Drosophila melanogaster: one gene and its partners. The protein of the gene in region 1 interacts with the protein of each later gene in a pairwise test. Each region holds a gene or a part of one and is shown in the gene's direction. Other genes may lie near its edges.

Region 1 (7,710 bases):
ACAATTATAAAATCGATGTACACGATATTTACACGACGTACATATTTCTAAGTTACAGGTTTCTAAAAATACAAAGTTTTTTTCTCAATTTAAGGAGTTTTTAATTCATGGCTAGAAACCCGAACAATAAGAAATCTTACTAAAGTATAAAAACATTTGTTTTTAGCTTTTTTACGCTATTTATGTGTATATTATATTTGATATATATATTTAATAATAATTCAAAAATAGTAGGCCCAATGTATAACTTCATTTTCGTTAATAATTTTTGTTGAAAATAAAATTGTCTCGTGGTCCATAAATTATGTATGCTTTTATAAGTCCCTGACCGTCATGCGGTTATTTAAAGTAAAGTAATTTCTGTATGTTACCATTTATTAATAATTATCTAAAAAATTAGCCAGAGAGAACGCCGACTCATAGATACCCAATAGTGCGGACGAAAGTGGGCGTTGCAGTTTTGGGCGGTTTGTTGGCTCTGTCTGTCCATCTGACCGCCCAAAGATCTTAGGAAGTATAAAAGCTAGAAGGTTGAGATTAAGCATACAGATTCTAGAGACAGACGCAGGGCAAGTTTGACCTACGTTGCCATGCCCACAAACCGTGGGAACCTGTCACGATCACACTTTTAAAAAATAGCTTGATTTTTCTTCGTTTTATTGTTTGTCTTGCCAATATCTATAGGTATACCAAACAAACCATAACTTTACCGCCCACACTTTTGAACAATTTTTAAGTTTTTTCTTATTTTATTCCCCAGTAGAATTATTGAATCTCGCTTTTCCATTGGCTGAGTAATGGGTATCTGATAGTTGGGGAACTCGACTATAGCATTCTCTCTTGCTTTAGTTTTAAATAATTAATATTCTAACACCAATGAAATAAGAATTTTAAATATATATAAATAAATTCTGTAAGCGGATATGCCTTTCTTTCTCGCTCCTACCTTTAAAGAGTGTGAAACGCCGAAGACGAACCGCAAAACTAATAAAGATGCGTAATGGCCGTCTGCGCACAAGTATTGGAAAATAATAACAGTGTATGAAAAGCGGGTGCACCTTAAAAGGCGGGACAAAGGTGCAGACCACAAGATGATTTCAGAGACCTCAAACCTCCCCTGAGCTTCCAAGTATCCTTTAGCGATGTGCATGCAACAATTGTTCCACAAGTGATTATGCCAGCAGTAGATGGCCATACAAAGGCAGAGGCAAGCAAACCGTTGTAGGAAAAAACTGCGCAAAAATGAACGCGATTCAAGTGCTGCAAATGAAAACTCTTTAACTTTAACAAACCTCCTCTCTCTCTTTCTCTCTTTCTCTCTGACGCATTGCTTCATTTTCAATTTCAATAAATAACCTTGATTTAAGCGGCAGCGACGTCAACGCCGGCAGAGCAGTCAGCATTTGACCAGCTGCAATACATGCACAAATGCGGGGGGACCTAGCGCTCACACACGGGTCAGACCGGCCCCTCCCCACACACAAACACCTGTCACACACCACTGTCTCTCACTCGCTCTCTCTGCAATCCCTCTGCTCTCAGTGCAGGAGAGGTAAGCGTAAGCGAGAGCCGCCGCTATAAATCAAAACAAAGGTGCTCGACAAAGGTGCGCATGCGTCGGTTAGAGCTTGAGAGCGAACGGTGCTCTCGCCTCATCTCATATCCTCTCTTTCATATATCATTTTAATGGGGAAACTATCTCTTTCTCTCGCTCAACTCAGTTGTTCTCTCTTCTGCTGTCGCTCTCGCTGCCCACTGTCAGCTCTCAACGTTCCGATTGTCAAAAAGATATTTCAGTCGAATGTTTTAGTTTCGACCTCGGCCGAGCTGGAGACTCATCTAACGGCTTTCTCAGCGGCAAGTTCGAAATCATGTCGCCTTTGAACGGTGGGTGGTGCAGCAGTAACGGTACATCGCTCGACCTACGACTAAATTGCGAGTGCAGAAAATAGTGTTCACGGAATTAACAGACCTCGAAAATCCAAGTGTAGGCGAATAAATAAACGAAATTATCGTGGAAAGCCATCAATAAATCACCAAATTAATAGCCCTGACGAGCACCCACGGCATACGCACAGCTGTTGTGTGTGCAAAGTGAGAAGAGGAAGCTAAAGGAAGTGAAATTGGCGGCAGTTTGACCGCAACAGCAATAAAATACGTCTGCAACCCACAAACGCACGCTCACATACACCCGTTCGTCATCGAATCGTCGTGGTCCTCCGCTTCCCAGTCCTCGCCCGCCCCTCTTCGACACACGAACCATTGTGACATTTGATTTATATGACGTGTGTGTTTTTGATAGAAGTTCAACACGAAACTGTCACACAAACACACGTATGCTCGCCGAGGAATTTATTCAGTGAACGAAAATAAAATCAGAGCTCCGTACGCACTTGGCCGCAGTGAAACGAATCCGCCACCATCGATGAGCAGGCGGACGAAAGTCGGAAGTATCGCCAGGCAGTCCAGTAATCAAACCTTTGGAGAGCGAGCCCGGATACCCAGTTTTCTACAAAATGATGCTGCACGAGGCCGTCATGCTGGAAATCTATCGCCAGGCGCTGAGTGCAAGGTGAGCGCTTCCTCCGATTTGCTGTTCCACGCCAATAGCGATTCGATACGGGGTTTCCCGAGGAGGTTGGGCAGTTCCCTTTGGAGATGCAGTGCTTTATTTCGATTATTTAGTCGAAAGCTGCATAAAGTTAATTGGGCATAAATAAAAGATATAACTAAAACAACGCAGGCGGCATTTTGAATCGAGTTTGTTCACCCTGCTGAAAAGTTTGTTGTGAATGCAACTTCTTGCTGTGCCGATTGATTAGTGTGAAGTTTACTCCATTTGGCACGGTTTGCGTTGATAAACGAAAAAATGCCGCTTAGAAAAGATCTTTCCTAGGTATTAAAATTTTTATTTTCTCAGCGCGATTAATGTGGCTCTTCGTATGAACAAATAATCAATTAGTCATTACAATATAATTATTCTGCTCCACAATGGAATGCTTGCTTTCCTAGTGATACCAAATTGACAGAAGCACTGTTGCTGTTTTAATGTCCGATATTTAAAGAGCTTAAAGTACGAAATTTTAAATAGAATATATATATATACCTTTTTTTCGCATGTAATTGTGACTCAATTCTAACTTCCATCACCTTCGAATTTTCATTTTAGTGAGTTAACTAGTCCGCGATGTCAGTCTCGCGATTCCAACACCTCAGCTGGAGCGGGTGCTGGAATGGCCGATGTCCGATGTCCATCGAATGAGTCGCATTGTTCGGCGAACGACCGTCTGACCCCAGCTGCAACGCCCACTCTCACGCCTACTGAAGCAACCATCTCCCCAAACTCGGTGGGACTTCCCCTGACGGCGACCCTTCCTCCTGCAGCTGCAGTTGCTCTGCTACCGCCCCAATCCGCCGCCATGGCCGCTTACCTAGCCGCTGCCCAACAAAATCACCTTCTGCTAACAAATCCATTGGCGGCAGCAGCTTCACTGGTCCAACATGCAACGCAGCAGGCAGTGGTGGAGGGGGAGGTGGAGTCGCCGGCCCTCGATTTTAGCAGAAAGCGGCCTAAGAGCCACGGAGACGACGATCAGGAAGAAGATCAGGAACAGGACCAGGAACAGGAGCAGGAGCAGGAGCCCGATCATGATGTCCAGTGCGATAATGGTCCTTTAGATCTATCTGTAAGCACAGGGAAAAGGCAAGAATCGGTTTCTCCGCCTGCCAGGAAGATTCCAAGAAGTATATCCGCAGATTACAAGTCACCTCTTCCACCTGGCAGCTGGATGCCCCCCATCAACCCATACTTGGCAGCTGTAGCGGCAAAGACGGGCGGACTGGGATATTCTAAGTTAGCACCCAGTGAAGCCAGCAAAGCGTTGGAGAAGATGACTGAGATGAGCCGATTGGAAACATCCCCAACAGCTGCCCGAAGCTTAGGCGCCACATCATCTGTAGGAGCAGGAGTGCCTGCGGGAGCTAGTTCCAACTCCGGTGGCCGGCACAGCGCGTGGCAGTCTCATTGGCTGAACAAAGGTGCTGATACTGCAAAGGATGTGTTTAAGTGTGTGTGGTGCAAGCAGAGCTTTTCAACTCTGGCTAACTTAACTGCCCACATGAAGGAGACTCAGCATTGCGGTGTGCAGATACCCTCGCCGTTGCCAACCGGAGGAGTCGGCACTCCGTCTGCTCCTCCTCCCACAAGGTTGGCCACTTCAGCCTCCAACTCGGCCTGTTCCAGCAGCAGTAGCTCCACCTCCAGCTCTTCAAACTCCTCGAAATCAGAGTTAAATATGCTAATTAAGGAAACTATGCCCCTTCCCAGGAAATTGGTGAGGGGTCAGGATGTTTGGCTCGGAAAGGGTGCGGAGCAGACCCGCCAGATACTTAAGTGCATGTGGTGTGGACAAAGCTTCCGGTCTCTGGCCGAGATGACCAGCCACATGCAGGAGACGCAGCACTACACGAATATCATCTCGCAGGAGCAGATCATTTCCTGGAAGTCGGGCGATGAACGGGAGAGGCCGACCAACACTGGAGTTCCGTCTACGTCCACCGCTGCTCCCTCTTCGCCGAGTTGCACAGCTCCATCAGTGAGTGCCGTGCTCACGTGTAAAGTTTGTGATCAGGCCTTCGGTAGCCTAAAGGAGTTAAGCACCCATATGGCCCAAAAATCGCACTACAAGGAGTCACCGGCTCCGTCAGCATCTCCTCCAGCTGCCGGCACTGGCAATCCGAAAAGAGGAAGGCAAAATCGCAACGAGAAACGCAAGAAATCCCTGCCGGTTAGGAAGCTTCTTGAGCTCGAGCGTTCCGGCTCGAATTCAAGTCTGGACTCAGCGCTAAAGCCCTTGAGGGACTTTGCTGCTGCCACCAAAATTACCTGTGAAAAATGTGGCAGTAAGATTGAAACTGCGTTGTTTGTCGAGCACATACGAAAGTGCCTGGGCGAGAGTATTCCAATCCCTCCCCGTCGATCTAACGCGGGAGTAGATCGCCTGCCAAGTCCCAGTCTAGGACTTGGCGCTGAAAAGCCACCATCAGTCCTTAATGCCCTGGAGCAACTTATAGAGAAGAGCTTCGAATCGAGAACCAGCAGAACCATGACACATGGAGGCTATTCCGAAGCTGGAACTCCGCTTGGAGCCAGCATCCTAAAGCGTTTGGGAATTGAGGACAGCAGTGACTACACCAAGCCCCTTATGGATGCCCAGGCGATGCACCTGCTCCGATCCTCCTTCGCCTCGAGAGACCGCAGTGCCAGCGAATCGAGCTCAGCCAGTAGGGTGGAATCATCCTACACCCCAGACAGACAGCAGGCCACCCCCCACAAAAGTCCAGATACTCCTGCTCCGCCTCCTCCCCCACCGCCAACCATCAAAGCTGAACCACTAGAGGCGGAACCCTTGGTGGGTTGCGATCGGGAGGGCTGCAGTCCTCGGCAGCAGATCCAAGTGAAAAAGGAGTTCAGCATGGAAGCATGTCGGGAGAGTCCTCGGTCTGTAAGCAAATCACCTGCGCCGCAGACCGAAAGATCTCCACCAGATAATGGCAGTCTACTGGCGTTGAACTCCATGTTCGATCAGCTCAGTGGAGTGGAGAACAGCGGCAATAACAACTCGGGTAAGAGAAAAAACTCAATATAAAAAAATTGTTTTAAAGCGTAAGGCTTAACTAGTGACGAGGTATTAGTCAATTGCCAGAAAATCGATTGGCTCACAACCTTGTAATCTACGCATGCCAATATTATTAGTTATTAATTATATATTAACAATTATATTTCTATACAAATGAAATAAAATAAATAATAATGAATAATGAAAACTGAACTAATCATTCTTCCAGGGCATTGCTTTAACAACAACAACAGCTGCAGTAGCGTCTCCGCCCAGAAGCCAAAGGCCCATCCTCTAGCTGCGCTGCAGAAACTGTGCGAGACCACGGATCCCCCAAGCACTGGCCTGCGCAGCGCGTCCTCCGCCGGATCCTCCACAGCATCAGCAACACTTCCCTCAGCGAACGGTAACGACCTGGTGGCCTTCAGCTGGGCCTGCAACGAGGCAGTTCTGAGTGCCAGTAATGGTGGCTCCGCCGGCGATTCGTCCATCATTAAGTGCTCCTACTGTGATACCCCTTTTGCATCGAAGGGCGCCTACCGCCACCATCTCTCCAAGGTGCACTTTGTGAAAGACGCAGGCGAGGACTCGCCCAGGCTCAAGTCCCCCGCCGTTCAGAGCCCCAGGTCGATGCCATTGGCCTCCCCAAGGAGATCAGCTTCCAGGAGTCCGGCGACAGGATCTCAGCAGCCCCCTCCCTCGCCAACCATTAGCCCCTATGACGAGAGTCCGCAGTCAAAGTTCCTCAAATACACGGAGCTGGCCAAACAGCTATCCTCTAAAAACGCCTAAACTGCTGAAGAACGGAGAACTTGTAGAGAAGAGATGTCATCCATGAAAACAGTAGAAGAATCTATTAGCAAAAGTGCTTAGGGACGACTTAAAGCGAATTAACAAATTGGGTCACAGATTGCAGACACGTAAGCTGTATTTAATATTCAGAATTTATCCTTTGGACTGAGGCTACATTTAAATTGTTCATTTTACGAAGCCGACTGTTTAACGGTCGTATGAAATCATTCAATCAAAAGCCCAACATACTTTAAACTGAATAACCATCCTAGTTGATGGTTTAAATTAAAAAAAAAACGAGGATACTTTCGTCGATGCCTGTTAAACAAACTTTAGCAATCCGTTTGCAAATTTCTAAACAACTGCATTGATTTGTGATCATTATTCTGATCTGCACAGCTCTCGCTCTTTCGTCCGCTCTCTCTCCAAATTTCAAAGTTCTCACTGTCTCTCTCTTTGCCGCTGTACACCCAACAAGATTTCCCCTACTTTTGCTGAATTTAGCAGGAAATTTCCCCAGACCACAAGGCTCTCTCGTGTTGTTGTTTGTTCCCCTTCGTCAGTGACGTCACGGCGATGATGGTCTGCTCTTTATGGTTTCCCAATCGGACAGTCGCAGTCTAAAGCGCGAGCGAGAGAGGACTAGCAAGCTGGAAATTCAATTACCACCACTTTGACGAACGGCTGTCCATCAAAGCGAGTCGGACAGGGACGGCCATAGTGGCGGAGTGACGAAAGGCGACAACACGAGTTCGTCAAAGTGGAATTGGATGGTGGCGAGAGAGACAGGCATAGCACAGTGGGTGTGTAGAGAGCAAGAGAGTGAGTACTCCTACTGAGTGGGAAAAATGTGGTTCGTTTTCGAGTGCATTTGAATTCAGATTTGAGTGCACTCAGGGAACAAGCCAGCCATTACTTATTTATTTATCCGCAACTCCTTGTCACATGAATGAAAAGGAAAAGAGTGCCAAAAATCAAAACTGTTTAAATCTAGAAAGAAACCTAACCAGCTAAATTGGTTATTCTAAGCAATAACAAAACAAACGCAACGCAGTATACGTAAATCCTTACACTTAAACAATAACCTTAATGATAGAACCAATTAATGGTCGCGTGCAACTCTTAGCGAAGCACATGTAGCCCAAACGATGAAATGCATTGAATAAATGTAAATACTAGCCAATGGCATTTTCCTTCCATAAGTCTAAAGATTACCGATATCTACATCAATATAAAGCCACAGCAACGCATGTATACGGAAACAATTTTAAAATGATATATTCATACACATATTAAACTA
Region 2 (3,864 bases), on another chromosome or scaffold:
GAGCGTCCTGGGATTACGTTTGAGCCGCAGCTGTGCCACAGTCCCTCAGAGCAGAGTAGCTCCGACAGCTCCGACAGCACCTACCAGTTTGCGACGAGCTTCGGCGTGATCTTTGCCCTGACCTTTGGTCTGTCCAAGCTGCTCCAACTGGCGGAGCTGCAGGCCAAAAGGTATTTCAAGAGCAAAAAGGCGCTGCATCCCAAATCTGCTGCCAAAGTGCAGGACCCAGTTGTTGAGCAGAAGGCGCCAAGCCAGCAGGACGATTCGAATCCCTTCGATCTCCTGCAGGACCACAATGAAAATCTGAAGGAGCAGCTCAGTATCCTGCAGTTGCAGTGTCTGGAAATGCGCGAACTTCTGCACGAGCTGGATATCAGCAGTAGCTCCAGTAGCTATGGAAGTGTCAGATCCGGAAACCGGGTAGCAATGGCCAAGTCCTCCGAAGAATCAATGGTGGTGTGGAGGCGATCGGACTCCCTGACCGGTACGGTCTCCGGCTCATTGCACGCCGAAAAGGTCAACTCCCCCTCCACACAAAACATCTACATTACCAACAGCCACTTCCACATCAACGGACAGGTCTACCTGACCGAGAACCACGTGAACGTCGAGCTCACCCAGAACGCTTCTTTGTTCGGTCGGGGGCAGAGCGAGTTCCTGCAGGTGGCGGGAAGGTTCATCTCCGGACCAAAGAAGATGCCCATGTTAACGGGCATGCGGTGCCACAACATCCTCATATGAGGAGTCTTCAAAATCATCCATTTCACTCGGAATAAACAATGTTACTAGCAATTCAACGACGTTTATCTTTAGTAGTTGGTAATACAAGGGAAATGGTTCCATAGAAAAAGGGCATCGCATCAAATAAGGCTTGCTCGACTATAGGTTACTTTCTAGTTTTATTATTGTAGTTGATTTAACATAAATGTTTTTAAAAACTTTGGGGTTCGAGTGTTTTAATGTCATCAAGAAAAGGAATTTAAGGAATAATTCTAGCACATTATCTATAAAGGCAATAATCGCTTACTCCTTTTGATTTACAAAGTTATTAATAATGTACATATGTACTTAATTAACACCAGAAATCGATGCCATTTACTTTGTTTTAGTCTTGTATTTAAAATTGAATTATTCGTTTTTTTGTACTGTATGTTTTTTATTGAATAATTTGCTACTAGAATGATTCCGCCATGGGGTATATTGGGAATAGAAGGGTATGGCTAGCTTTATTGGTCATTGGGTAAATGGTTTTCCCCTGTTTTCCACCACCCCAATAAGTATATTTCGTTACAAACACATGGTTTTAGAGTTCAGCAATAATGATTTAGCACTTTGGGGTCGACCAAGGAAAGATTTTTTCTTTAACCATAGTTACTTTTACCTGCATGTATCACATTATGCATTGACCTGCTTGGATCTACAGAAAATCGTAAGATTAGTTGGGACGCACCGTAAAAAGATGAGTGCAGCTGCTGGAAAGCCCTTCTTTGATGACACCTGACCCAGGTAACATTGTTAAATATGCTATGTTGCCCATTTTACAGAACCAAACGACCTTGGGACATGTTTGTATATAAGCCTTACGACTTACCTATTCACTTCAGAAGGAGTACAACCCTTGTCATAGCAACATCTTTACAGATTGCCAATTCCTGTGCTTATTGCCACATTTTAAATACGCATTCGCCGTGAACAAACACGAAAATAAGGTAAGTTTAAGGTAAGGATTGCCATTGTGGGTCAATTCGTGCCGAGTTAGCAAAGTCATAAATAAACCAAGATGTATTTGGAAATTAGTGCAATTTATGTTTAAAGCTCTACACAAGTATTAAATTTCATTGATTATTAAATATAAGAAAGAGTGCAGAGGGTTCTTTTTGATGCTATGCAACTAAAAGATGACGTTTGTCACTGACCTTATAAAGTGTATGTGTCATCCATGACTACGATCTAGTCGTACCTATTCTGTCCGTTTGTTTGAAAGTTGAGATCTCAGTGTATTTAGCATTCAGGATGTAGATTCCAGAAACGCTAATACTCAAAGATCTGGGAATAACCATTATACTTTTTTGAAACCGTTTAAGTGCACGATTTTGTATATTCGCAATTTTATATTCACACAGTTCGTGTCATTTCAGATCGATGGAATCGTCAATATGCCGAGTTTGCCTGGTCAGTTACGAAAATATGGCCAGTGTTTTCGATGAGTCTCATGAACCGGGCCTATCCATTGCGTACATAATATACAAGTGCACCGGCTGGCAAGTTGAGAAGCACGATCCACTGTCCAACACCATATGCAAGTCCTGTCTGGAGGATGCGCAGAATGCATTCGATATCATAGAAACGTACGAGAGAAGTCACCAGTTTTACCGCTTCCTCAAGGATGTACGGGAGGAGGAGAGTGAAAATGATGGATCCGGATGCTCAGAAGAAGTGGAGGCAGCTGAGAGGGATCTCCAGGATGGTGCCGACGACGTCGATTCCGGCAATGAACCTGATATTAACGAATGTGATATCAAGGCCAAGGAGAAACCAGGCTTTAGCTGTTCTCACTGCCCTAAATCTTTTCAAGTAAAATCAAATCTGAAGGTACACATGCGTTCACACACAGGAGAACGTCCCTTCACGTGTTCCCTCTGCCCCAAGTCCTTTGGCTATAGCTCTGGTCTTCAGAATCACATGCGAACCCACACAGGAGAACGACCCTTCCAGTGCTCGCATTGCCCAAGGTCCTTTACAGCTGGGCACCACCTCAAGGCCCACATACAGATGCACGAAAGAAGAGGATCGTTAAGGTGCCCATACTGCCAAAAGTGCTTTCTAACTTCTTTAATTCTCAAGCAGCATTTGGCCACGCACACTGATGAAACGCAGTTCAAGTGTTCCCAGTGCTCGAAGTCCTTTCAAGTCGAACATGAACTTTGGATGCACATGCGAGTGCACCAAGAACGCCTCTTTACTTGTGGCCATTGCTCAAAGGACTTTGCGCTACATGCGTATCTCAAGCGACACCTGTCAAGGAACGCGAGATGCTCTCAAAGCTCAAAAGCATCTGCTCACAAAACACTAGGCCACTCAAAGGCACTTAAGTGTGGTAAGTGCCCAAAAACTTTCACTGACCGTTCGGCTCTGTCCACTCACTTGAAATCACACACCAAAAATAAGCCATTGCTCGAAGGTCCTTGCAAATCTTCAGGATCTAAGCCGGCACATAGTAACGCACAAAGAAAACCGTTTAAGTGTTCCAGCTGCCCAAGGACTTTTTCGCGGAAATCCGCACTGCTAACACACTTGCAAACCCACACAGGAAAACTGGGCACAAATCGCATGTAGAAGAAAGAACCGTTTGAGAAGGCTAAAAGAATTCGATTCTTTTTTTTTTTTTGTTCGCACGGGTCCTACGTCCACACCTCCCGCCCAACCGACCGAGGGGCGCTGCCGTGTATCGTACGGCTCGATTCGCGAGAAGATATAGACGCGATATAAAAAAGAGAACAGGAACGAGGAAATGAATATAATGTAAAATAACTATATTAAATATTACTGTTAGTAGGATCTAATTATGTAATAAAAAAGTTAAAATCGATTGCTTTAAGAGCGGCAGAGAGTTAAGTCTATTATAGTCAGAACATAAAACTCTGTAAGGGTCATGCAACTCATAGTTAGATCTACAATGATTTAAGATAAGGGGTATATAGTTTCTAGTGAATCTACTTGGAACCGAAAAGTTAAGCCGACTAATAAAGTCGGGACTCTCAACATCCCCACGAATAAGCTTACAAATAAAGACTGTTCCAAGCATAGTTCTACGGTTAGCTAGGGACGGTAAATTAATTAAAGGAAGTCTACTAATATAAGGAG
Region 3 (5,871 bases), 1.1 Mb from region 1:
AAAAATTAAGATTAATATTTGTTGTGGGAATTTATAGCGCAAGAGAGCATTCCCCTTGGTCCCCAGGATCTTGCCAGTGAAGTTGAACTGCGCAAGTGTAAGGATTCATTTTGCGGTCGGAGTGGATAGCTAATTGTATAAAAAACCACCTTGGGATACTGATTAACGGGCACGAAGACCTTTTGGGTAATCTTTATCGGCTTCTGCTTGTACACGTCTGCGTATAACTCCTTGCCGGGAATACGTCCAGTGCCATAGACACGGTCCACAGCTGCAATGTGGGATTAATACCATTAAAATACCCTGTAAAGGGCCGAATTGATTTTACCCTCGGCAATTAGCAGTGCGCAAAGTGGAAACTCCGCGGACAATCACTGGCTCTCCTCGACCAAATCGGCGAGAAACTTTTGGGTCACCTCGTTCAGACGCGGCTGGTGGTCGTGGGAAGGTGGCTGTTTCAAAGGTAACGCGCTTGCTGTTCCCATTTTTATCGTAACAATATTTACCGAAAAATCACAATTGAAATTGATGTAGACTGAATAAAGAATTATATATCAGTGACTTAAAAAGGGAGACCTGCCAAAAGTTTGAAGTTTTGAGGCTGCCAACTTTTTCAGTGCTATAGTGATTGAACAACGGTCCAGTCGCCAATCCTTAGTTAAAAATATAAAAAATAGAACCCCGTGGAAAGATAACCATATCCGTAGTTGTTCCCCAAAAGCAAATATGTATATCCAAAGATGAACATACATACATTTGTTTTAAGCGTTTATTAACTCAGCCTTACTTTAGACATTTACAGTCATACTTAAGCTACATCAGATTAAAAACAAGAGATAATGCTATAGTCTATGTTCCCCGACTATCAGGTAACCGTTACTCAGCTAGTGTGAATGCAAACGCGGAAGTTTCATAATTTTTCTGGGATATCGGTAGATATTGGGTAATAAAATAAATAAAAAAAATTGTTCTAAAGTGTGGACGTGCAAGGTTTGGCGACTTTAGGGCGTTAGAGTGGGCGTGGCAAAAAGTTTTTTGCAAATCGATAGACATTTATAAGACTAATACCATTATGAAAAAATACCGAAAAACGGTTCAAAAACGTGAAACGTTGTGGGCGTTAGAGTGTGCGTGGGACATGGATCAACAAACTGCGCTGCCTGTATGTCCCTAGAATCTTTGTTTCTAATCTCAACTTTTTAACTTTTAAAGTTCCTGGCTTCTCAACGTTCAAACGGACGGACAGACAGACGGACATGGCCAGATCGACTCGACTATTGATCCTGATCAAGAATGTATATACTTAATATGCGCGGAAACGCTTCCTTGTGCCTGTTACATGAATATAGTATGAATATTTTTGGAGGTTATAATAACATGTATACTCATTTAAATAAAATAAAAAAGTTTGTAGAAGCTCGAATAATTTACATACATTCTGGCACTCTCCGTAACAGTGGCGCCCTCTTGCTCGCCAGCTGTTCAATCTCACCACAGCCCAGCTCAGCGACTCTCAGCTGCTTAAAGTCACCACAAGTCAGAATCTCGCTCCTCAGCTCCGTTCTGTTTTCATTCCGCTTTTAATTCCGTCGCCTGCCGGCTCGGCTCGGTATTATCAATGAATTAAGTTTAATTTACCTCTGCTCAGTTTAATATAAGTACAGAATCGAACAAAGACCTTGGGAAAATGGAGAACAAAAATAAGAAGTGCCTGCGAACCCTGCTACTGCTGGCCCTCTTTTTGGGACTTTTGGGTAAGTAATGCCAATATTTGCGATTAGTTGGGTAAATGGGTTTTGATCAAGTTGAATGAACTCTTTGTGGTAGGTAGCGTTTGGCGATAAACAACAACATTGACAGTGCCACACCTCCGCCTACGCACACAAACAAAAGGCCGAAAGAGAACTTTTATCTGACACACTTTCCAATTGAAGCAGCTGTTTTTACAGTGGGGCAAGTAACAGTATTGAAGGTCAAGGAAATGTGACCTGCACAGGTGTTTCGTTTTGTTTCTGTAAAGTTAGACAAAAACGTGCAGTTACCCGACCCTGAATTGTTAAAAACCGAAACATAGATAAACATCATCATATTTGTTCCCAAAGATCCCCGGATTTAAACACATCCACATCGACCTTTGCTATCTATCACCCCATCCCTCCTTCAGATTATCACTCCCTCGTACACGTTGCTTCCACTATTTGCCTTATCGCTGCCCACTGTGCAGGGCCACTTGTTGATAACCTCGACCCAGGCTTAGTAAACGACGAAAATACATATCAGCATGTAGCGCTGCTTCTGGGTGAAAGTTATAACAATTCGTTTGACTAATGACGTGTTCTACTATTTCTTTTCGGCCACATTTCTGTAGAGGATGGAAAAACGGCCCTAATAGCTCCGAACAGTCAGCAAATTTTCAAGCTACAGAATCAAGTGATACTCCAGGAACTGGGACGAGATTCAAGCTCCGCGGAGACGAGCTATACATTTGAGACAGATCTCAAGATCAACTCAGTTTGGAGTGGAGATGAGGACCAGTTACTGGAGGTTTTTATCAGCGGAAGCAAGGTCGACGCCTCTGGAAAAGCCCGCTCAATTACCCGGATACCCGATAGACCTTTTTATATTAGTCTGGTTAGGGGACAGCCTGACAAGGTCATCGCCCATACATCCAAAGATCAATCCCTGTTGAACTTGGAGCGCGGAATTGCTTCCCTGCTGCAGCTCAGATTGGATGCTTCCCAGGAGGAGGAACTGGATGTTTCTGGCCTGTGTCGTGTGTCCTATAATGTCAAATCATCCACGAAAGTGGAGAAAACCAAAAGGGACTGCTCTCTGTGGGATCTCAGGGTCAACTATAACCCAGAAGAAGCTCTTGGAGTTACTCAGCAAGCCCAGGAGACGGTCTTCTACGAGCTCTCTTCAGAGGGCACACTCTTGCATGCAGAGTCTCAGGAGAATCACCGCCTCAATCTAGCTGCCAAACCGGATGTGGGAAGCTTCGTGAAGAGTTCGTTGATTCTGCAACACGTCTCGCAAGGATCGGAGGAAGTCAAGCAACTGCAACTAGGCAGCTTAGATAAGGCCATCCAGAGCCTGCTCGAATGGTATCGCGTTTTTGAGCTAGAGTCCGATGTAGATGGCATGATCAGTGCGATCAAAGAGCAAACGGTATGTAAATAATTTCAAATTTGGGGATTGCTGAACTAAAAATATATTCTTCCAGCTGGAGGACCAATTAAAGGCCTCTCTGACGGAATTGCAATCCGCCGACGTGGGCAAATCCTCGCTGGCTCTTGCGTACGTAAAACTAATTCCCCTGGCTCGCATCACAAGGCAAGAACAATTTGAAGATCTACTTACGGAACACGCAGAAGTTCTGCCCCAGTTGGTGGATCTTTTGGGTGCTGTTCAAACGTTCGATGCTCATAATGCCACCTTTGGATTCCTTTACAAGGAGTCGGAAACCACAAGCGAGCAATTGGATCTGCTAGAGAAATACCTGCAGTCCCTGGCGGTCGCCACCCATCCAGACAGGAAAATAGTTGAGCACTTGTTTGGATTGCTAGAACAGGAATCTATCAAAAAGCATTTAAAGCTGAGGGAAAGCGTTATCCAAACCGTGGCCACCTTGACCCGCCAAAGCGGACTAGATGTTGAAGATCCTTTGTTGAAGGAAGTGCGTTCTTATCTACTGCAAGGTCTCACCTCCAAGGAGCCTACCTTGTACATAAGGGCTCTGCAAAATCTCCAGGATCCTGCTACCATTGAAGCTCTGCTGGAGCACGCTCAAACTGGCGAGGCTCCCAATTTATCGGTGGCTGCCTTACAGGCTCTGAAAGCCTTTCCCCTAGGTAGCTTTAACTCTTCACATCGCTTGCAGTTCGAGAGCATATTCTACCAGCGAAAGCGTCGCTTTGATAGCTCCGCTCGCACTCTGGCTCTTGATATTATCCTGTCCCTCCGGCCAACTCAGGAGCAATTGGGCAACTTCTTGGATTACCTAGCCTCCAATGATCGCCAGTTTGAGATCAAAACATACGTGCTGCAGAAGCTAAGAATGCTGGCTGAGAAGTGCCCGCGATTTAGGGCTTTGTTCAAATCGGAGCTTGTCAAGCGGAGGCATGTAAACAACTACAATGTGCTGGGACAAAAGGGTGAGTACCTAATTTCCTAATGACACTGTTCAAACAATTATGAACTTTAATACTTACAGGTCTTACGACAGTCCTCACCCGTCAGCTTTCCCAGGCTCCAGCCTTCAACGAAACCCTGCTAAGTACCCAGGAAGTGTATCAGGGAATCCTGAAACGTGGCTCCGTGGAATTTCTGCTCCACGCAGGCCGTTCCCAAGCCAGCAGCTTTAAATTGGGCATCTACACTGCCGGCTTGGGCTCGCTGGTAGGCGATGGTGACTCCGGCGATGGAAATGATGCAATCCCGGCGGATGATGAGTTCAGCGAAGACGAAGCGGTCACCGCGGGCATGGAGATCAGTGTGCAGGGTGCTCAATTGCGACCCCTAGTATTCTTCAGCGGTCAGACCGAGCTAATGGGTCACGTGTGGGGAGGAAGTGCCTCGGACTCAACGCCCGCTTACCAGGCAACCACTTTGTCCCAGGATAACGAGCACTACATAATCCTGACCTCCGGGGCGACGCTCCACTGGCGAGTTCTGGGCGCCAGGAGTGTGGATCTCAATGGCAAGGTGGGATTCAGCCTGTGGAATCGAAATGCCCAGACGGAAATCCAGCAGAAGTAAGTGAAAAAGCCAAAGCATTTGATTGGAATGTTATTTAACTCACGATTAACTTTTGGCTTATAGCACTGGCAGCGCTGTTCTTGGTCATTTGGCCGTTGGCTTTACGTATGCGAAATTAGTGCAGGATTTCAGCATCACCCACGAACCAAAGTTGAGTCTGAATGCGGACTTGGACTTCTACAGCGGCATTAAATTGTGCATGCAACTCCAGCGACCTGAACAGCTTCTCAAGTAAGTTTGCTAGAACTATTTTAATGACTCACATGCTAATTGAAAGCCTCCTTCACAGACAAACCAACGTTCGTTCGGTTTTCCTGCAGTCTGTTGATCGTCCTTATGCCAAACATGTGCGCTCTACACTCTCCCACAAAACTGCCGGCTGCACTTTTGCCCTCAACCAAAAAAACAACGAAATGTGCAACCTCATTTTTAGGGACTTGTAGATTCTACTCAAGAGATTATTGGAGATTCCTTGCATAAAAACTATATTTCTATGTGAAAACTCAGAGATTAAGACTCGATATAGTTGTAAACTTAAACGAACAAAGACCATTTAATTTTCAAATGCAACAAGTTTTTAATATCTTTTGAGCAACTCGAAAATTACTGGAAAAGTGGAAATGTGCATTTTTTCTCGATTCACAATAGTCACACCTTAGATTTAAAAATCCCGCCCAAGTGCTGCGAAACGCGAAAGGGGACTTATCGAGCTATCGATTGCAAGAGCTACGCATTCCCATCCCTAAATTCCGCAGTACATTCAAACACTACTACGTTGTGCTTCTTCTTCAAACGCGGCATAAAAGAGGTGCACTCCACAAGCACGAAAAGAAAATAACTACTGCAAAAATATCGTCGAACGCACGAGTCATATTAAATAAAGGTTAATAGAAGCAGGCATCGGAAAAGCTTGATTCCGGAGAAGTGAAACAAATTAGGCCACCGAATGGTGCTCTTCTTCTTTTTGTCGGAATTAGAAGGCTCGTCGCACACACACAGTCGCAAACAAATGCGAAATCAAAAGCGTCATCCGATTGTCTAAAGTAAATACTTCTATTTGCAAGCTGAAAGGCGCGACAAATTAAATAGTTCAAACTTAATAAATCGATATTT
Region 4 (7,985 bases), on another chromosome or scaffold:
GAAAAATAATACAATTATAACCAAAACAAGAGCGCAATAAAGAATATATAAAAATTAAATTCCATAGCGTCATTCCAGACAAAGATCGGCGATACTGTCAACTGGCCGAGAACACTTGAGGCTAGATAACTTTTAGGCTATGGTTTCTTAAGGTTTTGGTTCGCTTCTATGGTCTTTCACGGACATAGCACTTGAAACTCCATGGAGGTGGACAAGTTGAAGGGTGTACGATTCCGGGTGTACACGATATGCCATGGTCAGCAATCTTAAGACTCTGTCTGTTTCGCCGCCCCTAAGTCTTCCGTCTTAGGGTCGTAAATTCGCCGGCAAAGCACCTAAAGCTAGGCGCGGCGGTGCCATCAATTAGGGTATTAATTGCCCGGCTCTGCCGTGGCAAGAGAGCCACCTCGATGAGTCAGTCCTGTGGCCGGGTATCCAGTTTGGAGTCCTCCTCCTCAGCATTAATCTCCTGTAATGTTGATTTCGTGTAGCGCCATTTGTAACGATCGAAACTGGCATAGCCGTCAACTTTTTGAGTGATTAATCACCGCACAGATATTTCGCGACACGCAGCAGTAGCTACTATTAGATACTTTTTGTCTGCCGGTTTTGCTCTTAAGATTTGCCCATGATTTATGCACCGCATGCGTTGCAACAATTAAAATTATCGCCTCAACTCGATTTCCATTCATGGGAGCAGCGGAAAGTTGCCCGTAATTGTGGCATTATAAGCAACTCCGAGGGGATTGTGCATGTTAATGGCCGTCATATATCTGCTTGCTTTATGACTTTAACTATAAACAATTTATGATTCGCTGGGCCAACTTGGCTGGGTGGCCAAGATATGTGGCTAACTTACAGATTGCAGCTCTTCGAAGAAAAGAAAGCAAGGAGTTGGTACGGATTGCCATAGGGGCTTAGCATTAAGCATATAAGCCTAGATTGAATTTTTTAGAATTTAAGTCATGGTTTTCATATACATTTTATTATAAAATGTACTATTTAGCTACTACATCCCTATATATAGTAAAGATATGTTTACAATATTTATCTACACATACATCTCTGCTTACAAAGTATCTGTAATTGACAGGTTGAAAAATATATCAGATTTCTGACCAAGCACTCCAATCACCCAACCACTTCAAACTCAATCTTTTCCTGGCTGGTGACAATTCAGGGGTTTTGCAATATATGCGCCGCACCTGATCCTCGACCACGTGTGCTCCTGCCCTCCACCTCCGCCTCCTCCGGCGGTGTTTATTAGTTACAACACTCGAGAGTGGATTGTGAAGTGTGGAGAACTAGAAGAACTGGAGAAGTGGAAGTGGAGCGCAACAACCGAGCAGTCGAGCTGTCAAAGCGGCCCACATTCGGGCGACTGTTCGTGGGGTCATATAAAGTTTCCGTGCCCATGCCCATGCCCAGTCCCACTTTCCAGGCCCAAGCCCGATCCGATGATATTCTGTTGACGTTGACTAACGTTGCTCGAGTTTATTAGTTTGCCAGAAAAGTGTTTTATGAGTGCAATTAGAAAATGCGCTAGACTAAATTGCACAATTGACAAATAGCAGGGGGCGAGGGTGAGGAGCGCTGAAGGGTGGAAATGGAATCAAATGTGGTGCTGGCTGAACTGTGCCGGCTGGTGGGCCTCTTGACGCCACTCTTCGGAAACCTCGGAACATTGGTGTAACATAGGTGTGTTGGAAAATCGGCCGAGCGCGCAGGCGCAATTTGTATCTCACGGATACTTATCGCAACCGTGGCACCAACACTCGTTGCGTATCTTATCGCATGTGTGTCGATAAGATAACCAATACCAGGCGAGGCGGTACAGAATAAATCATAACGCTGCCACACCGACAGGACCACGCACCCACACAGGTGTGAGGCCGCCCAACCGCAGAGGCGCTGGATCTTCATCGGTGTGGGTAGCTAATTGGGCGGCAAACGCGCCGCAGGCACCGCATTGCGTCGCCGTCGTTGTTGTCATCGCAAGTGAGGTGCTTGGTGCTCAGAGTGCTCAGTGTTTAGTGTATCGAGCCCATAGACCGGAGACCAGTGCCACCACCAGAGCCCAGTTGGTCTCGAAAAAATAGCACTTCGTATCACTGCTAACTGGCAAAGGTTGCGCGCGGGCCACAACCACAATCGCCCCACGGGTGACAGCATTAGATCGCCCCCAAAGCTCCAAAGTTCCTACTTTCCCAAGTTACCAATTTTCGTCAATTTTCGCCAATTTTCCCCACTTGCTCACTTTGCGCGGCACTTTTTCGGGCGCCCAGATTGATAGGAGAAGTGAACCAAACACCTGGACAAGCCGTGCTTGTGATAAATTTTTGAAAACACAACAGAACTGAAATCAAGTGATAAAAACCAATCTTAGATAAAACGCTGGAAGAAACGCAAAGAAGCGGCGTAACTTCAATTTGATGGTCTGCAAAACTATCTCACCGAGTGTAAACATGCAGCTGAAGGTGGGTAAAATAAACTTATAATTATTCAAAAATAGTCAGCGTAATTTTTGGGTATTATATATTAAGTTTGCCAAGTCGGTATTTTCTTTTCAAAACCAATTCCGTTTAAAATCCATATCGGAATGGAGAATATCAACCTGACCGCTTAAAGCAACTATACGTGAACTCTATTAAAAACATTTAAATACCTTTTTGATGCTCATTTACGAGATCTCTATAAGCCTATCTATCATTTCTACTTTGTTGAAAGATCATAAAAGTTTTTAACGTTTTCTCACACAAGTTCATTAAGCTAAATAGACAGGCCATATAGGGTCATTAAAAGCAGATAGTTCAAGTTTATAGATCAGTCGCAAGGCACGAATAAATATTAATTTATTAATTAACGGAGTATAAAGAGCTTTCAAAGGTATTTACAGCTCGAATAGCCATATAGATTTTACATCCTTCGGTGTACCGAGCCAGAAAATGATTTTAGCCCGCAAACGGCAGCGATATGGATTTTTTTCAGTTCTAGCGCCAGGGAAATAAGATAAGACAAATTGATTTATAATGAATGAGTCATCTGGGATGCAGCGGCAAACTGCGACACTTATTTTGGTGTCTGCTCTTGGAAGAAAAACCGAACCGAAACGAACCGAAACCATTAAGAAAACGAGAATGGGTACGAAAACGGGGCAACAAGAAAGCAAGTTAAATGTGGAAAGATGGCTAATCTTTATGAGGTCCAAATTCAGCTGCGATCGAAGGTGGCGTCAAAATACCTTTGACAAAAATAAAATTTGAAACACGCAGCCGACTTTCAACTGCTCGCTCCTCTTCATTCATGAAAAGGGACTGTTTTTACCCATTTTTTGCTGGCCACGGATAATGTGAAATTTATGTCAATCTTATCACCTCGCTTTGGTCCTGCTCCTTATCCCTGTCTCTAGCGTATCCTTCATGGGCTTGGGGTTGGTTTTGTGAATGAATGCCAACCCTTGGCTCATCTGGGGGTACTTTTTATCCTGCCGGAAGTGTCCTTTCGACCAATGGAAGAACAGTCCCTTAACAGTTGCTCAATGGCGGCATCGATAGTTGCAGTTCCAGTTGCAGATACTTTTATTAGACACGCGTCGCCAGTTGACAGTGGATGATGGCTGATAGGAGAGAGGGCGAAGGTTGCGATTGATGGCCCTTTAATAGAGCTGTAAATGCAGCTGGCAGTCGAGAGTCTTATCTCACTTTCATTAGCCAACTGCAGTGAAGTTTAATTAATCGAAGGATCTTCTAACGAGGGCAGATATAAAGGGTATAAATGTATATCCAAAAATGGGTACATTTATTTACTTCCCATTCTTTTGTTAATTATATAGATATTTTGAAAGTGCTCTCACATCTTTAGCCTTTAAGCAGTCTTACCCAAGAAATTGTTCATATTTTTTTATAAGTCTAAAATAAAAAGTAAAACTGGCAAAGAATTTCCTCGAGAAATTTAGAATTTTAACAAAAATAGCATTCATCACAACTGCATTATATTCAAGTTTTATAGTTCTATTCAGTTCTAAATGCCTTAAAATGTTTGGTCAGAGCTGCCTTTGAAATTTGCTCAACCACGAACCCAAGCTCAACGAAAGCGAAACGAGGTGCGATTATATAGTCAATATCTTTTGTTTATATAGATAAAGTACGAAATGTACGTGTGTGTGTGTGTGTGTATGGTTGTGGGTGTGACTGGGCAGATTTCATTCATAAGTTCAGCGGACTCCACACCCTCGCAACGATTCTTGACTAAGCCGAGCAAATAGCGCATGCCATTGCCATTCTCGGGTGACAAACATCGCTTGCACAACTTTTGTAATTCTTGGATATATCTGTCCCTATTGATGACGTAGCCGCAACTGAGAGTGGGTGCGGGCAGTTGGGGGATACCAACCATGACCTCTCAGTCCCAGCAGCAGCAGCAGCAGCTGATTATGTACATTGATAGCGCCCGGATAAGATATTGTCCGTATCGTTCGGCCGTAGTATCTTAACTTTTTCGCGGTACATGGCACGTGCATGGGGGCCTACCTATCGTACTACTACTATATACACACACTCAAAGTCGGGTTTATCTGCATTTCGGGCAGACGATTGTCTGAAGTGACGTTTGCACCACATTATCTCGCACCCTTTCCATCCAGGGAATTCTTTGAACTTTGGCCAAGACGTTGAAAACTTGGCACGGTCATCACCGCCGGCGGAATGCAATCAGTTTCCATGGAACTCTTTCGTCCCCCATTTATATGCCTTCCACATAAGTAATTAAACTTTGTACCTTGGTAAGCGTTAGATTTTTCATTTTTACGGCTTGTCACCAACTGAATCATCATTGAACTTGGCTTGTGTCCACGCAAAAAATGTATCAATCATTTGTGGCACGTCAACCTAAAGTTCTGCGAAAGTGAATCAATTTTCATTAAATGGAAGATAAAGTATTAGTTTTTTCATATAAAGGGAGAGTGGGGATTTTTATGGAATGTATTAAATCAATTCAGCGTGGTGATTATTTTCGGAAAAAAAAAACACCTGTACAAGTATATGGTTATATCTCAGTTAAAAGCAATTATCTTTGCAATATATTTCAATGGCCACAAAAATTTTCCTTTAGTGTTGCTGTGGATTTCCTCAATTGACGGTGGTGATGGTTACACATAAGCACACACATTTTTTGGTATATTTATAGCCATGGTAAAGGTGGAAACCACCTGAAAGCCTCTGAGCTATATGGCACTTGTCATGAGCGGACTGGCGGTAAATTTCAACCTGGCCGCATCGTGAATCAGGTGACAGTGACGATCGAATGTGTTGACACAAGCTCGAGGATGGGAATGGGGATGGGGATGGGTATGGGGCTTTGGAGTGGAAGTGGAAGTGCCACCCCCAACGGAATGAGGTCATAAACCCAAAAGCGACTGACGTATGGCGGGGAAAGCAAAGCGATTTTATGGCCAAGTTTAATTTCCGCCAAAAGCCAAACTAAACCAAAAAAAAAAAAAAAAAAAACCACGAATACACAAGAAAAATGAAAACGAAACCAAGGCACCGCTCTGAGTTTAGGGTTCTGTGAGCAAATACTTCTGCTGGTGGAAATGAAATGGAATAAAAGTGAAAAATGTGTTCGACAATGTTGACACTGAGCAACTGAGTGGTAGAAAGGAGAGGGGTCGCCTCCAAGCCCGTCTCCGTTCGGCTCAGTTTCTGGTACTTTACGGTTGTAGGCGACAAATTGAGCTGTGAGTCGAGCGCGGGCGGTGTCTTTGAAGTCCGTCTCAGCGGTCTTGGTTGGGCTTGCGTCTTGTTGACTTTTGTGGCGGAAACCGAGGCGGGCAGTTCGCACTGCAACGGCCGGAACTGGAGCCACACTTTTGAGACGAGCCGGGCGAAACATGGCATTCAACACTTGTCGCTTGCTCATTGCAGATGGAACAGCAGACAACGCAGCAGCAGCAGCAGCAACAGCAACAGCAACAGCAACAGCAACAATTGCAACAGCAACAGCATCAGGCTCTAACCAAGCAGCAGCTTCAACTGCTGGACAAAATCAAACTCGAGTCCAGCAACGGCGCCGATCAGTTGGCCCAGCAGACGGCCAACAATCTGGATGAGCAGCAGGAGCAGCAGCAACAACACCAACAGCAAGCCGCAACATCGGTGGGCGTGGTGGTGCAGACGGGCCAAGCGGGCGTCAGCGAACCGGAGGAGCAGTACGTGGTGGTGCCACGCAACCAGCGCCGTATTCTCACCACAGCCGGCACACTGTAAGTAACCTCTGGAGACCTTCTTTTCCTAAGAACATAAGCATTCACAAATTTCATTTTTAAACACAATCATCTAATGCAAATGGCAATCGATAGTTACAATTTACCATTGTTATTTAACAGTGTTATTAACAACATTTCAGTGAATTAAACGAAGCTCGTGAAGGAGAACCGAGCACAAACGCCAGCAACGCGAGCTCAGGATCTGCTTCGGATAGCCACATCGAGTACCAGCGCAGTGCACACCAATCTCCCGGAGCCACTCACTACGTGCAGATGGCGCCACGCAACGCAGAGGTGACGGAACAGGTGGGAGCTGCTGCCGGAGCTCCGCCGGGCACCATCTTCGCCTATCCTATTATCTGCAACGGTGACGATGTGGCCGCGATCAAAATCGAAACACTCGAGAAGGGAGAGGCGACGGGGGAGTCGCAACAACAGCAGCAGCAACTGCAGCAACACCAGCATCAGCAGCAACAGCAATGTCCCACACCCAACGGAGCTAGCTACGGCGAGACCATAGTGATCAGCAGCGAGGCGGAGGCACTGCAGCATCACCACCAACAGCAGCAGCAGCACCAGCAGCAGCAGCATCAGCAGCAACACCACCAACACCAGGCGGCAGCTGCAGCATCGGCGGCGGCCCAGACGGTTCACATTGCCACCAGTTCGCATGGTGGAACCGTGCGCTTCGTTACGGAGGATGTACGCTTCACCACCGCCGGACCGGAGACATCCGCCTCGAATATGTACTACGATGTACCCGTGGTGGATGGCAGTGTGCATGCCAACGAGTCCAAGACCTACGCCGACCTAGGCAACGCATATGCCCCCTTCCCGCCCAGCTCCAGCTTCAGTAGCAATAGCTATGCGGCAACGCTTCAGCAGGGAAACACTATTTACAGTGTTCCGGGCACCGGTCAATTCTTGGCCAAGTCCGAGTCTGGCCTAAATCAGACTGGACTGCTGCGCCAGACTGGACCGGCTACTTTTCAGACGATATCTTTTGAGGGCGGCAACGGCATCGAGCCTTTATGGGCATCTCCCGCCCCGCCGGAGTACCAGAGTGTTCAATTTGTAAGTATAATTTAAGTTACTGGTTCTTGAGGCGGTACATACTAACTGTTCTCCCGCATGCTGCACAGAGCAACTTCCATCCGCAGGTTATTGATGAATACGGGAGCGGCAATATGAGCACCTCCCACTGGCCGCCCGCCAGCAGCATAGGGCAGTACGATGGAAGTCTGGTGACCGCCTCGTCCACATCGTCGCCCAACCACGAGCTAAAGTGCGAGAACTGCCATGGGCCGTTCTTGCGGAAGGGTAGCGAGTACTTCTGTCCCAATTGCCCGGCCTTTATGCGGATGGCGCCCCGTATAACCCAGAGGCAGGCGAAGCCCAAGGCCGCCGCCGCCCCCAACAACCGGCGCAACGGGGTCACCTGCGCCAACTGTCAGACCAACTCGACGACCCTGTGGCGTCGCAACAACGAGGGCAATCCGGTGTGCAATGCCTGCGGACTGTACTACAAGCTGCACAACATGAACCGACCGCTGTCGATGAAGAAGGAGGGCATCCAGAAGCGCAAACGGAAGCCTAAGAACAACGGAGGAGCACCCATGCACCGAGCACCGCTGCCGAGTGAGTACACCTGCCAGGGATTACAGTATGCAATAAACTAATCCCAATTCCCAACCAGGCATGTCGCAGGGAGTCAACCTGATGG

Evidence for each region.
Region 2: the proteins of tio (region 1) and Neu2 interact in a two-hybrid assay, tested with the Drosophila melanogaster proteins (one large-scale study listed by BioGRID).
Region 3: the proteins of tio (region 1) and Mtp interact in a two-hybrid assay, tested with the Drosophila melanogaster proteins (one large-scale study listed by BioGRID).
Region 4: the proteins of tio (region 1) and GATAe interact in a two-hybrid assay, tested with the Drosophila melanogaster proteins (one large-scale study listed by BioGRID).

Annotation. Positions count from the first base shown.
Region 1 is NT_033779.5:22,017,519-22,025,228, forward strand, and holds the start of tio (tiptop), read left to right. Parts: upstream 1-1,689; 5' UTR 1,690-2,516; coding exon 2,517-2,572; exon of another isoform or gene 2,573-2,736; intron 2,737-3,169; coding exon 3,170-5,625; intron 5,626-5,847; coding exon 5,848-6,410; 3' UTR 6,411-7,710. UniProt on the Drosophila melanogaster protein: Tiptop (tio) and teashirt (tsh) have, on the whole, common activities. Tio and tsh repress each other's expression and tsh has a crucial role for trunk patterning that is in part masked by ectopic expression of tiptop.
Region 2 is NT_037436.4:21,488,325-21,492,188, reverse strand, and holds Neu2 (Neuroectoderm-expressed 2), read left to right. Parts: upstream 1-1,602; 5' UTR 1,603-1,709; intron 1,710-2,138; 5' UTR 2,139-2,187; coding exon 2,188-3,336; 3' UTR 3,337-3,339; downstream 3,340-3,864. Other genes in the region: CG7202 (uncharacterized protein), read left to right, coding at 2-741.
Region 3 is NT_033779.5:20,918,569-20,924,439, reverse strand, and holds Mtp (microsomal triacylglycerol transfer protein), read left to right. Parts: upstream 1-1,563; 5' UTR 1,564-1,687; coding exon 1,688-1,754; intron 1,755-2,368; coding exon 2,369-3,168; intron 3,169-3,223; coding exon 3,224-4,154; intron 4,155-4,213; coding exon 4,214-4,754; intron 4,755-4,821; coding exon 4,822-4,989; intron 4,990-5,047; coding exon 5,048-5,201; 3' UTR 5,202-5,346; downstream 5,347-5,871. UniProt on the Drosophila melanogaster protein: Catalyzes the transport of phospholipids such as phosphatidylethanolamine (1,2-diacyl-sn-glycero-3-phosphoethanolamine) and phosphatidylcholine (1,2-diacyl-sn-glycero-3-phosphocholine) between membranes.
Region 4 is NT_033777.3:16,010,307-16,018,291, forward strand, and holds the start of GATAe (GATAe), read left to right. Parts: upstream 1-1,967; 5' UTR 1,968-2,432; coding exon 2,433-2,477; intron 2,478-5,921; coding exon 5,922-6,259; intron 6,260-6,402; coding exon 6,403-7,336; intron 7,337-7,404; coding exon 7,405-7,900; intron 7,901-7,958; coding exon 7,959-7,985.